Linked DNA regions of Xenopus tropicalis. The protein of the gene in region 2 interacts with the protein of the main gene of each other region in a biochemical or structural test. Links are inferred from orthologs where the notes say so. Each region holds a gene or a part of one and is shown on either strand. Other genes may lie near its edges.

Evidence for each region.
Region 1: of the proteins of mbp (region 2) and prkcz, one has a biochemical effect on the other in vitro, tested with the Homo sapiens proteins (2 studies listed by BioGRID). The link is inferred for Xenopus tropicalis from reciprocal best matches to the Homo sapiens genes MBP and PRKCZ.
Region 3: the proteins of mbp (region 2) and tlk1 form a complex in vitro, tested with the Homo sapiens proteins (2 studies listed by BioGRID, with this or other methods). The link is inferred for Xenopus tropicalis from reciprocal best matches to the Homo sapiens genes MBP and TLK1.

What each region holds. Positions count from the first base shown.
Region 1 is NC_030683.2:91,420,579-91,424,759, forward strand, and holds part of prkcz (protein kinase C zeta type), read right to left. Parts: intron 3,229-4,181; coding exon of another isoform or gene 3,208-3,228; coding exon 3,147-3,207; intron 2,774-3,146; coding exon 2,724-2,773; intron 1,423-2,723; coding exon 1,234-1,422; intron 1-1,233. UniProt on the Homo sapiens protein: Calcium- and diacylglycerol-independent serine/threonine-protein kinase that functions in phosphatidylinositol 3-kinase (PI3K) pathway and mitogen-activated protein (MAP) kinase cascade, and is involved in NF-kappa-B activation, mitogenic signaling, cell proliferation, cell polarity, inflammatory response and maintenance of long-term potentiation (LTP).
Region 2 is NC_030682.2:98,825,188-98,829,896, reverse strand, and holds the start of mbp (myelin basic protein), read right to left. Parts: upstream 3,253-4,709; 5' UTR 3,058-3,252; intron 1-3,057. UniProt on the Homo sapiens protein: The classic group of MBP isoforms (isoform 4-isoform 14) are with PLP the most abundant protein components of the myelin membrane in the CNS. They have a role in both its formation and stabilization.
Region 3 is NC_030685.2:67,966,700-67,970,880, forward strand, and holds part of tlk1 (serine/threonine-protein kinase tousled-like 1), read left to right. Parts: intron 1-324; coding exon 325-435; intron 436-2,146; coding exon 2,147-2,283; intron 2,284-3,728; coding exon 3,729-3,917; intron 3,918-4,181. UniProt on the Homo sapiens protein: Rapidly and transiently inhibited by phosphorylation following the generation of DNA double-stranded breaks during S-phase. This is cell cycle checkpoint and ATM-pathway dependent and appears to regulate processes involved in chromatin assembly.

The DNA.
Region 1 (4,181 bases), on a different chromosome or scaffold from region 2:
TTTTTCTCTCTTTTAAAGGAACAGTAACACCAAAAAATGTATATATTTTAAAGAAATTAATCTATTATGTTCTGCTGCCCTGCACTGATAAAAGTTGTGTGTTTGCTTCAGAAACATTACTAGAGTTTATATAAACCCTGGTGTGTAGCCATGGGGGCAGCCATTCAAAAGAAGAAAAGGCACAGGTTATATAGCAGCTAACAGATAAACCCTGTAGAGTACAATGGTGTCTTATCGGTTATCTGCTGTGTAACCTGTGCCTTTTCTCCTTTTTTCCAGCTTGAATGGCTGCCCCCATGGCTACACAGCAGCGTATTTATATAAACTATAGTAGTGTTTCTGTAGCAATCACACCAGTTTACCATTGCAGGGCAACAGCACATTATATTTCAATTACTTTAGAACACTTTCTTTTTTTGGTGTTACTGTTCCTTTAAGGACTGTTAATCCTAAAATAAGATTCAAGCAAATACACTGAATCTCAGAATTTCTGATATTAACAATATTCCAGTATCTGTGTCTTTTTATATAAATACATATTTTTACATAATCATATGGTTTTTACAGACTTGTGTTTGTTTTTTTTGTTTTTTTAAAACCTTAGTTATTGCCACAAATACACTATAAATATAATATCTGTTAAAGTAAGTTTATCGGAGCAAAGACATTAACTAATTTAATTCATGCTGACTTTTGGGACATAAAAATTTTCTAGAAGACCCGTACAAATACAACAATATTTTAGTGGTGGCCCTGAGCTAAAATAGCTAGAATATTGTTTGGATAGTTAAAGTCCTATGTAACATGTCTGTGACACATGTGTAAAAACTTACTGTGCATAAAAGATAACAACTAGTGGAATAAATGAGACAGAAGAAAAGGACATAAGATTAATTGCTTTAATTAATGAAACACTAAGAACACATTACATTATCTGCCCGGAAGGCTAGGGATTGCCTGGGCAGTTTTGATTCCTGTAATGTAGATTAGCCACTTATCAGAGACACCCGCTGCAGCTAGTGCATCTTATTAAGCTAAAGCTCATTCACATAATGACAAACTGTAATGGACACAGGTACTTTACACAGTGCATGGTTTAATAATGGCAAACAGAACACTCAAAAATCTATAATAGGCTCTTAAACAAGAGCAAGTAAATGGGTGCCATTAAGGAGCAGCGACAAAACTATAAAAAGAGAGATATCTTTGTACCACACCAGGGCTCATCCGTACCTCGTCATCGTGTACAAGTTCTTTCTTCACTACTTTCATAGCATAGGTCTGGTCATTCTTTTTTAAGCGCACCAGAAGTACTTTGGCATAGCTTCCTCTTCCAATCACCCGTATAAGTTCAAAGTCTTGAAGTCCTAATCCTTGGGAGATTTTAATCCCATCCATTCCATCAATGACTGGTTTAAGGTCCTAAAACAATCAGAAAGAAATTGTAGCATGTTGGAAAGTGATAGGTGCTAGTGGAAAGTGTTTGCAGCTCTGCCATTTACTGTTTAGCTTCAGCCAAACAAGCTGGGCACATAAGGGCAGATAAATCTGACCAAATGCCTGTTTCTGCCTATGTGTTTGCAACAAAGGAATGATACTTCTAGTCAGGAAAGCAGTAAGACTAACTATATCACAAAGCAAACCCTTACAATAATTGCCCAAAGAGAATATATAGCTGCAATGCTAATCTTTATTTCAATACCAGGTCCCTTACTGGCCAATTTGACCAACCATGTTTGTAGGCTGAAGGGCTGGCTAACTTGCACAGAGCATTCCTTATATGTACATAGATATTTATACAAACACCAGAGGACTATCATGCACTGACTGTGGCATTTACAATCAACATTAATACAGCAGCTTCCTCTATTGTTTATAAGCAGACATTATCATAAGCAGTACTATAGAAACTTCTGTCAAAGGGCACAGTATGTCATGTCAACCAGATGCAGATGGAAGAAAAAACCCAGTTTAACCATTAAGCTATGTCCTAACACATTAAACTGTTTTTTGCTGAGTTATTTAGGCTTTTTTTCTCTAAGGGCAAACCTAGTCCTAGAAACTGCAGATAAGGAGGGACTAACAATAGCTGAGAAAAAAATTCCACAGCACCATGAACTTTCTGATTTTACAGCTATACAATAAAACAGATTCCTTTTTTAGGGCTAGGAACCTGGCAATACCATCTGCTTCTCCCCACTTGCATTTTATAGGGAAAAGGAGAGAAGTGGATGAGCTCTCTTGGGCCTTGGAGCACTGGGACACATCTGCTGTTTGGTATGAAATGATGTGTTATTCTTTGAGGATAATGTGCAAGTAATGTAAAATGTTTAGAATGGCCTGTTTGTGATTATATTCAGGACCTATAGCAGAGCCCCCAAAAGGATACACAGTTCTATCTTCTAACATTTATACAAATATTTTTGTGTGAAGAGATGGTAATTATTTTCAAGAAGCTTCCAATATACTATGAAGTACTACTTTAAGAAAGGGTTAAAAACAGTGACTGTCTGCTTGTGGAAATGTGTATTCTCTGAGAGCAAAATGGTCTTCTCTAACTTTCAGAAGTCCTTTCTCTCCTGCTACAGGAATTTATCATCCAAACACTATTTGTGCTTTAAAGGGGGAACAGAGCTCATTAATAAGGTATACAGACTTACAATGTCCCATAAATTCAGTCTATATAGATTTCTATACAGATTTCACTATCTTTGGACTCTCACCTCAGATCCATCCTTACGATTCTCATGTTTTCTTGGAGCAATAATGGAAACTAAGAGAGAAAAGAAAAAAGTGATTGCTTTTGGTTTTACTAGCACTTTCCTAGGACAATTCATTTTTCTTATTGATATCTGATTAATCACCCAAGTGTCTGAACAGATGCAAGCTGTAATGGGGTTCACATGTTTTTGTTCATATTTCAAAAAGGGCACAGTGCATTTGGTCGTGACACCAGTGCAGACCAAACAGTTATGTAAGTGCAAGCAAAACAAGTTCTCTGTGAGTTTCCAAATGATGCTGGAATGCTGCATAATTTAGCCCTAAATATCTGCACAAGACATAAGCATGTAGAAGGTGGGTACAGTCTCTGACACGGTATGTTTTGTTGCATGTTGAAGATTTTGTATGACATGCAATTAACCTACTTTCATCAATTTCTTCAGAGGGAGGATCAACTTCATCACTTTTGTCATCTACTTGCGGTTCCTGGAAAGGCATGACCAAATCCTGTTATAAACATACACAAGCTGGGGTTAAATTTCCAGACAATCTTGATATTCTCCTGCTCCCTAAATCTAGTGGTGTAAAGAGAGAAGTAATTGTTCATGTAGCAGTAAATTTCTATGACAGCCTGACCCATATCAACGAAAAGAGCAAAATATATCTTCCAATCTTTCAGAAGAAGAAGATATAACCAGAGCTGTGCGTGCCCTGCATCCTAAACACCTTTTTGTCCTTTAAGAGGACTCATCAAGATGCTTGGTACAAAGATTTCTGATAAAGCCTGTCTCAATTAATATGCGCTTTTAACCCCTCCCGGAACAGTGGGTAGGAAAGCTATTTCCTGAGGGAGGAAAAGTCAGCTGGATGATTACAACAGAATAGTCCCAAACTGGTATATTTGGTCAGTTATAGATATATGAGGTCTGTAATGTTATGCTCAAGATGAACGGGAAGGGGCAATTTATATAGTGTGTAAGCCAACATTACCAGTGATGTTGCCCATAGCAACCAATTAGCAATTAGATTTGAATGGTCATCTACAAGTTAGAAAACAAAAACAAAGATCTGATTGGTGACTATAGGCATCATCACCAGTGATGTTGACTTACACACTATAAAAATATGCCCCTAAATGTCCTTGCACATGCAGGAGTGTACAGCAGCAGGACTAATCGTAACTCGCCTATAATTTAGCCAGTAAATGAGACACTTGCTCTCGTGGACAGCAGTCAGACAATATGTATGGCATCCAAACAGGCTAATAATGAGTAAACTAGTAGCATATAGGTAGATATTCTAATATTGCTTCCAACACCACAGGCTGCAAGCCAGACTGCACAGTCTGAATCTTAAAGCAATACACCAGTGTCACTGAGAACATCATAAAACCCATATACTGTATTTATTATTTATACAATACCACAAGTGCATGAAGTGCTTACAAGGCCTAAACACAA
Region 2 (4,709 bases):
GTCATAAAGGTCAATGGGTGCCTGCCTGTGTGGCTTGGAGCCATATTGATGTTTTCCCAGTCAGCAGATAAAACATACTGTGTGGCAGTAGCCTAAGTCCTTAACTGTACAATAAACCCTAACAAAATATCTTCCTCATATCCACTGTACAGTGTCTTAAAGTCTCCCTGTCCATCCCCTCAAGAAGGCCAAGCATGTACCAAATTGGCCTCTGATAATCCTGACCGAATTGGTTGCTTTGAACAGTGAGTGTACCCCAATCAGCCCACTTATAGCTGATCATAAAAACACATCTATTGCAATAAAAAACATCAAATTAGTGCCATCTATTTTTTCACAGTAGTCTTATTTGTCAGATATGGTATTTGGTTGCCAGAGGCAAAAGTCACGACAAATGAAATAAATACATTGCCTTTATGTGTTAGTGCAAACCTATATTAAGGGCAGCAGGAAGTGTTCTCATTTATCCTACTTATTTTCTTATTAATTATTTTATAATCCATACAGTCTTAGATTACATAGGTTAAAAACAGATATCAGTTACCAAAATATACTCTAACACTTTCTTTACACTGCTGACTTTCATCAGATCAAATCTTTTGTTAAACTGGCAAATTCACCCCATTCAGTGAGGTCCCCAAAAAGCGGATCTCTATTCACCCATACCCTGGGCCGAATTGGGCTCTGGTCATTGCCCCTGGGGCAAACAAACGCATCATACAGTGATGCCTACATACACAAGCCAATAAGCTGATAACTCGATCTGGAGGGACCACGTCAGCAGCTTCAATCAGCCTGTGTATTGCCAGCTTTAGGGTAAGTACCTAGACTCAGTCGTCAGCGATAGATCTCTGCTATTGTGGGTGACAAACCGCTCCGAAAAGGCAACAATAGGAGTTGCTTGTGAAAAGCCCCTCTGAACCACTCCATGGGTTCTTACCCTTATGGGTGAAGACACATGGAGCTACTTAGTAGCAACCACTTGTCACAGCTATTAAACACCAGAAAATACCCTGCCATAGACAATACTGAGACCTGCCTCTTGTAAAAAATACATAAAGGCAATTATCAGTAAAAAATCAGCATTGCCTATTGTATTAACCGTGACAAGTAGCTGCTACTAGTAGCTCTGTGTGTCTTCACCCATAAGAGTAAATATATATATATATATATGATCCGGTGCGGTATTGAACTGATTAGCAACTGGGCCACATGAACGGATACTTCTCACGGCTACTAAACACCAGAAAATACCCTGCCAAAGACAAAAATGAGAACTGCCTCTTGTAAAACACATGTAGAGACAATTATCAGTAAAAGATCAGCATTGCTTATTTTAGTAGCTGTGACAAGTAGCTGCTACTAGTCGCTCTGTATGTCTTCACCCTAAGGTGGCCATAAATGATCCTGCGCAGTATTGAACTGATTGGCAACTGGGCCACATGAACAGATACTGTACAAAGGGTCATCCATGGCAGTCACCTTTATATTGTTATCTTCATTTGGAATGAGAGCACAAACAGAAAAGCAGGAAGTGAAAAAGAGACGCAGCTTTCTCATCTGCTGAAGCACTATGCACTGGTGGAAATAGTAAAATGGCAAATGAAGTTTTCCCTGCTAGATTAATGAACCGACAAATATCTGTCATGAGACTGACTTGGTAAAAATGATTTGAGAGGAAATGAGTGGGTGTTGTGGTTTCTCTAACTTGCCTACCTGTCAATACCCAAGCACCCACCCACATGTGGCATCAGCAGGTACATTAAGAGCTTAAGACTGAAATGCAAAGATGTTGCAGGCAGTGTGGTTGATGATAAAGCAGTGTGGCTAAAAATGGACAAACTGCCCCAATAAATATAAGTATGTTTGGCCTCCTTCACATTCAAAACTTCTGTTTTATAGCACTGCGGAATACAATGGCATCTTACATGTTTATGTTAATAATAATGTGTAAGAAATGGATATAAACCATGCTATATACAGAGGTTTCTACACGTGCTACAGTTCTTGCCAGCCTAACAGCACATCCCATTTTATCTCTATAGAGTTGCCCAGAAAATGAATGTCTGTGTGATTTCCGTGAAACCAGCAGAAAGGCATTTACATTCCAACATAAATTTTCCCTCTGAAAATGGAATCCAGCAGAGTGGTGTGTAAATCTGTGTCATGGCATGATATGAAGCTCTGCAGCATGACTGAGGCCTCCCTGTAATAAGTACAGCCCTGAGGTAAATTGCCCTACTACATAGGATAATAAAAATGATGATGGAGGCTGAGAGGATTAGGCAATGATTTAATTGTGTGCATTGCATGATATGCTGGCAGCCAAGCCACAGGTGTTCAAAGCAGAGAAAGGAAGTGACAAACACACCACATTATTTTGCTATCTTCTTCCCTCACTTTACTACAGCTCAGCTTCCTGGGTGGGGGGCGGGGAATACAGAAGTTGTTGGTTTTTTTTTTTTTTTGCCTTCTTGAAAAAAAAATAGTAAGTTGACAGTACATGAAACCGGAAGCGACCTGAGCAAAACAGCAATAGTAGAAAGGGCTTCCGTCAGGCACCAATGGCCCAACTACAATGGCACTATACCCAGTGCCCCCCATTGATATATATATGGTTGTCTCTCCTATTCTGTGGCCCAAATCTACTTGGCTTTCGTTTAGCCTGTGGGCCCCCGGCTACTGAACTACAACTTCCAAGATATCAGTGTTTCCTGGGGGTAATAGTTAATAACAGCTGGAAGGCCGCACGTTAATCAAGAAGTGTTCTCGGTGTAACCTACATCTACTGCAATATATATATATATATATATATATATATACACACACACAGAGAGAGAGATAGATTTCCTGTCAGTCCTGTGTGCAATAAGCGAGCAGCTCCAGGCGCGATCTCTGGCTGCAGGAGCCCATTACATTCCAGTCTGGGGAATCTGCTCCATGGCACCGTGTTTATGGAATGGGAGCGTCGGGGCAATAAAAGCCAATGCTGACCCTGCACGCATGATATACAAACAGGGCATAGGAAGGGGGAGGGACACCCGCTATAGCACCCACCGTTTACACATAAAGGCGCCTCCCGTGGGTCCGAGGACTGCAGAGCGATGAGCAGCGATGGAGAGGTGGGGGGCAGCTCTGGGGAGAGCCTTCAGCTGATCTCTGAGGTGAGGGGGCTGTAGGTGACACCAGGCTGTGCAGTCTTCCTCGCAGCGGGGCTCAGCACCGTATCCCTCCTCCCGCCTAACCAGCCTGCCCCACCCCCAGCAGTGTGTGCAGGTTACAGCAGCACCGGGATGGGGCCGTGGAAACCTTCTTCCTGCAGCGCAAAGAGGTGCAGCACCGTGCGTGATTTCTCCCCTTCCGTGTGGGTGCTGCTGCTAATGTCAGTGCGGACTCGGAGGTAATAATGCGCCCCCTGCTGGAATGCCATTGCATTCTCTCCCCGTGTGCTGCAAACCTGGCTGCCTTAGTTCTAGGGCGCTCACTAGTATGAAGGTGAGCTGTGTCACCTCAGTGGGACGGCCATTAGCAAGAATGCTGTGTACTGTGAAATGTTGGTAATAGTGAGGCAGAATGGGATAGCAAAACTGAAAACTAAGGGTAATACCTCAGTGACATTCTCTGCCATCTCACCAGAAACGTGATAACTGCCTACAGACCTGACACTTTAATAAAGCCTTCAGAAAGGTTTTTAAACACTCATAGCGACCCTGCCCTAAATATATCTTTGCAAAAGTAACAACAGGAATTGCAAGGGGTGGCACAGTAAGATCATGTGCACACAAGTGCTGGAAATCATGGTGACTGCACTGCTTGTGATCCAGCATCCCCCCTAGCTGTATAAAAGGCTCCCCCCATCATAATCCATTAAGAGGAGTCTCCCACATCATCACTTCAGCCCTCTCTGGTGTATTTTGTCCTACTTTTGCCCCACTGGAAGCCAACTTTTTTTTAAACCTGGGAAACCATTACATTTGTTAGAAAAGCGGCCCAGGTGCTATTTATTTTTTATTTTTTTGGTCCAGGTGATCTTTTCACTTCTCATTACCTCCCATTCTCAGGCTACTCTAATCTCCTTTTACCCAATACTGAAGTCAGGCCTGGTACCTCAGTCCTCAGGGCTGTGGAGTTGATACATAAATCCTTCAAGTCCGACTCCTTAGTTTATGGTACCTTGACTCCGACTCCTGGTACCTAAAATTGCTTTTGACTACAACTCTGGACCCACAAATCTATCTCCACAGCCCTGGCAGGGCTATGGAGTCCACACATAAATCCTTTGACTCTAACAGCTCAGTTTATGTTCCTCCGACTCCGGGTACCCAAATTTGCTTCCGATTCCATCCACCCTGCCAGTCCTGCAAGGCAGCAGTTCACTGCTGTGCTGCTAACCAATGAGCAGCTTATCCCCCTGTGTATGGGGACCTCCAACAGCTCTATCCAACTGTTCTCTGACCAAAAATCGACTGTCGATCAGGCAAGTTTGGTTTTTTTAGACAGATCAGGGACCGCATTGGCTCATGGATGCGGTCCTCACTCCAACCACTCCTATCTCTGTTGTTTTAATTAAGCCTGATAGCACCCACTTTACGTGGGCATACTGGGGAAAAATCTGCTTTTTTGGGATATCGCCAAATGAGCAAATCTTATAATGTATGGGCACCTTTACCCAAGACAAATCTTTCATTGATTCTACAATAAAATGGTAG
Region 3 (4,181 bases), on a different chromosome or scaffold from region 2:
TGGGACTCCTACAGTTACATGGGAGTAGGAGAACCAATAGGTTACCTGAAAGCAGTTCTAATGTGTAGCGCTGGCTCCTTCTGAAAACTCAATTCACTGAGTTGGCGCCTACGCACCAATATTACAACTAAAAAAAAATAAATTTGTTGGTTCAAATATAATGGAGTTTTAATATGCCTTTAATTTTTACACTGTCAATATTTCCTGTTTCTTCTTTTTTTTTTTTTTTATTTATAACAATTATAGAGAACTGGGTAAGAATTATAGAGAACTGGGTAGAATGTTTGCTTTTGGACTGATAGTATTTGTCTTTGTTCTTTGCAGACTAACTGTGACCTTAGGCGACAAATAGACGAACAGCAAAAAATTCTTGAAAAGTATAAAGAGAGATTAAATAAGTGCATTTCAATGAGCAAAAAACTCCTGATAGAAAAGGTAAGTGCTGGGGAATTGCTGCTTGCTTGCCACTAATTCCTGCTGTGCCCCAGAATGTTTCAACATTCCAAGTCTGGACTTGCCCCAGGCCAGAAATTTTGCAGTCAAATTTTTATGCCCAGTCACAAATGCTCCCTCTAAGCTACATGGAACTTCAAGAAGTGATAGATTCTGGGAGTTGAAGTCCCTCTGCTTTCCATGGTGGTCAGGTGGCAGTTTGGCCGTCACATGTGGTGATGATGATTGGTTAGATAGCCATGGTCTCTAACTGTGGGCACTTTGGCCACACTCTCTTGTTGGCTAATGTATGATACATTGACAGGTTAGAAATAACAAAGGCCACACTTTGCTACCTTTTGTGCTCTGATCTGCTTATTATAGAGATGGTTACATGTCCAAACATAAAGCCTGACAGGACTGCTATGTATTTGACAGGGGGAAAGTGTAAATGTCACGTCAGAATGAGTAATCAACATTTTTATTTCTTTTCAGAATTATGGCAATTTTGTTTTCCCATAAATAAACTCCATTGCCTAGCAATGTTCAGGACTGGTTTACAGCAGGATAACTAATGGTTTCCTTCTCAGAAAAGGCCATAAGATTTTTAGATTTGAAAATGAGCTCTGGCACAAATCAACCCATTTCTGTGTATCCACATTTTCTACCTAATTAGTCCCTGAGCTTTATGTAGCACTCACAGAGGAAAGGGTGCCCTTATTTCCCTTTCTGTTTCCTTCCACTGCCCATAATTACCCAGCTAAACAACATATGAAAATATATTTAGCCCTTTTAGTTCAAAGGGCACCTCTAATAGTACAATTATTCCCCCTGTTGGAGGCGTTGGGCAGGCCATAAAGGCCAGGCCTAGGGCAGCACAAAAATTAGGGACTGCATGCTGGGCTCATCTCAATTGGGGATTGGGTGAATGAGTGAATCATTTTGACAGTTGTTTGAATCTCCCACCTGCAGGGGTGTTCGAGTGGGTGGGTGGGGGGCGGTGCGAATCTCCTATGGTGCATCAGCTTTAAATCCAGCCCTGGGCGGGGAATAATGGAACCTTTTGGCCAGGAAGCCAGTAAATGCTCCTAGCGAACACTATGTCGCCTGCTCTGTCAGGTAGCTCCTTGTCCAGGCAGTCTTGTTGGGACTCTAAGTATGAGAAAAATAATAAATGTCCCAAATCGCTCACGATTTAGGATGAAGGGAGAAATCCCCAGATTTTACATAATGCACATAATGAGAGTCCTTATTATGCATGTGTGTGATCAAACATGGCTACCCACATGCGGATGCTCCCTCCCAGTGTGGGGCAGTATAGTGCTCACTAGGAGCATTTTCTGGCCAAAATAGTATTGTTGTGTTAGCCTGCATCTCTGGGGAAGGAAACAGTTTTGCTATGCTAGATTCTAATGGCACACGGAGCAATGTTCCTTCTTTGACCTAAATAAGTGTTTCCAAGCATTAAAGGTTTGATCCAAAGGTTCACCTGCAGAATCCAGGAGATTACCATTTAGTTCAGTGGGGCCAATGCCCTGTGTTCCATGTTAAGTAAATATTTAATGCAATAACACACCAAATATAATTATTTATTACAGGACACCTTAGCAGAAGGAAAAAAAAACAACAAAAGTCTAATGTGATGAAAAGTGTGTTAAAGATAGAGCAAACTAAATGTGCTAAACTATAAGCCACTTTGCCTGATTTCTTACAGAGCACCCAGGAGAAGCTGGCAAGCAGAGAGAAGAGCATGCAGGACAGGTTACGGCTAGGACATTTCACCACAGTTCGGCATGGAGCCTCTTTTACTGAACAGTGGACAGATGGCTTCGCTTTCCAAAACCTTGTCAAGTTAGTCTTTTGTTATGGAATCTCTAAAATTTCTCTTGTCATTGAAGGCAATAAGAATAGGAGCCAAATGATGTCATGGGGCTGTGCTGGAAATAAGCGTTGGGAGGACCTTGCTGGGGCTTAGAGCACAGAAGTTATACACGTGGCATAGTCAAATCAAACAATACCTTACATTTAGCCAGTGAATAAAGGGGAGGTGTGAGAAACAGGATTAATAGAACAGAAGATTTATCAGATATTTGTAGAGGTGAAAACATGTAAATGAATGCAAAATGTTTCTGCAAAGATACAGGGACCTAACAAAACACAGGAAACAAGGAATTCATTTTAAAGGTGCAGAATTCTAATGCTTAATGTATTAGAGTTACAGCATGCGCAAAATATCGTGTAATATAGCACTGCTAAAGTTATATGCATAGATACATATACATTCCCCCTAATGTTTAATACTAACCAATCATATGATAAGATTATGACAATCTTTGTAAAAAGAAAAAAAAAATACGTAACAAGTGAAAGGGGTGCAAATTTAGTTTAATTTATCATCAGGGGAGTTTGTAGATCTGTGGAACACGTGGCATATTCTGGACCTCCAAGTGCCTGATCATAGACTTTCCTTCTCTCATTAAGTCTAATGGAAGTCATATGTGGAACAGGGGCACCTTACTCCTCTCACAAAGTGATTTTTAGTTGACTTGAATGGAAAACTAAGTACCCATGGCAGATATTCTTGCCTGTTCTGGTCCATTCTGCGGGTATAACTCGGAAACACTGCGGCCTTGGTTGGTATCTGCCATTGACAGCATGCTTCCAATTGGAGAATGAGAGCTGCTGAAGTGGCATTTTTATTTATTTTTTTTGTTTTTCTTTACTATGGTTTTCGCACGTAGTGCTGAATCTTCCATAAGGCTAAGTGATAAACCTGCCTCAGATGGCAGTGTGCAGCATGTGATTAAACACAACCCTTGTTCACTGAAATTATGGTTTTTAAATGAGTCAGGTGACTGAGGCTCATTAGGCTTAGGAACATCCCAGGTCACCCGGGAAGTCTGTTGAAATCAGATAAGACATTGAGGCTTGAAAGGGGTATAACGTTTGACCTAAGAAGCACCAAGAATATATATATAAATAATAAGTAACTATACACAGTTGTTGTAAAATAAGAGACTGACCATTGGTCACTACCTTGGGAAACCTTCCTGATTTTCAGTTGATTAAACCTCATATAGCTGTTTATTCAAAAAATACTCTTGATATGGCAAAATTACATGAAAATATGTGATTCATTAGCACCTCTTGCATACGCCTACATCAGAATGGCTCCATACAGTGGTAAGCACCTATATTGTGTTGCCTGGAAACCGGTTTCTGCACATTTAGATTTTAATGGCATATTCTTCCTTGTATCTTTTGTTCCTTTTGTTCAAGTATCTGTTTATTTACAGGCAACAGGAATGGGTGAATCAGCAGAGAGAAGATATTGAAAGACAAAGAAAACAACTGGCCAAGCGGAAGCCGCCATCATCAAACAGTTCCCAGACTCCCTCCGCCAACTCAGAACCAAAGCAGCGGAAAAACAAAGCTGTAAATGGAGCTGAAAATGACCCCTTTGTAAAACCAAGTTTACCACAGTTGTGAGTAGCTTTTCATGTCAACCTTCTTCCCAACATAATGTTGTGTCTTGCTCTGTCCCTGACTGATTATTATATAAGGAAAGATGAATGGCAGGGGTCTGCATGTAAGCTCCAATGGATTACCTGTGTGCACATTTTCAGCCATATTACTGACCAGTAAGGCTAGTTTGGCTAACTTGCTGTTATGGACACTTAGCAATCTTGTTCTTTGTCCCCTCTGATTTTATTTTGGCTGTGTTTGCAAAGATTTTCTATTGGTGAGTC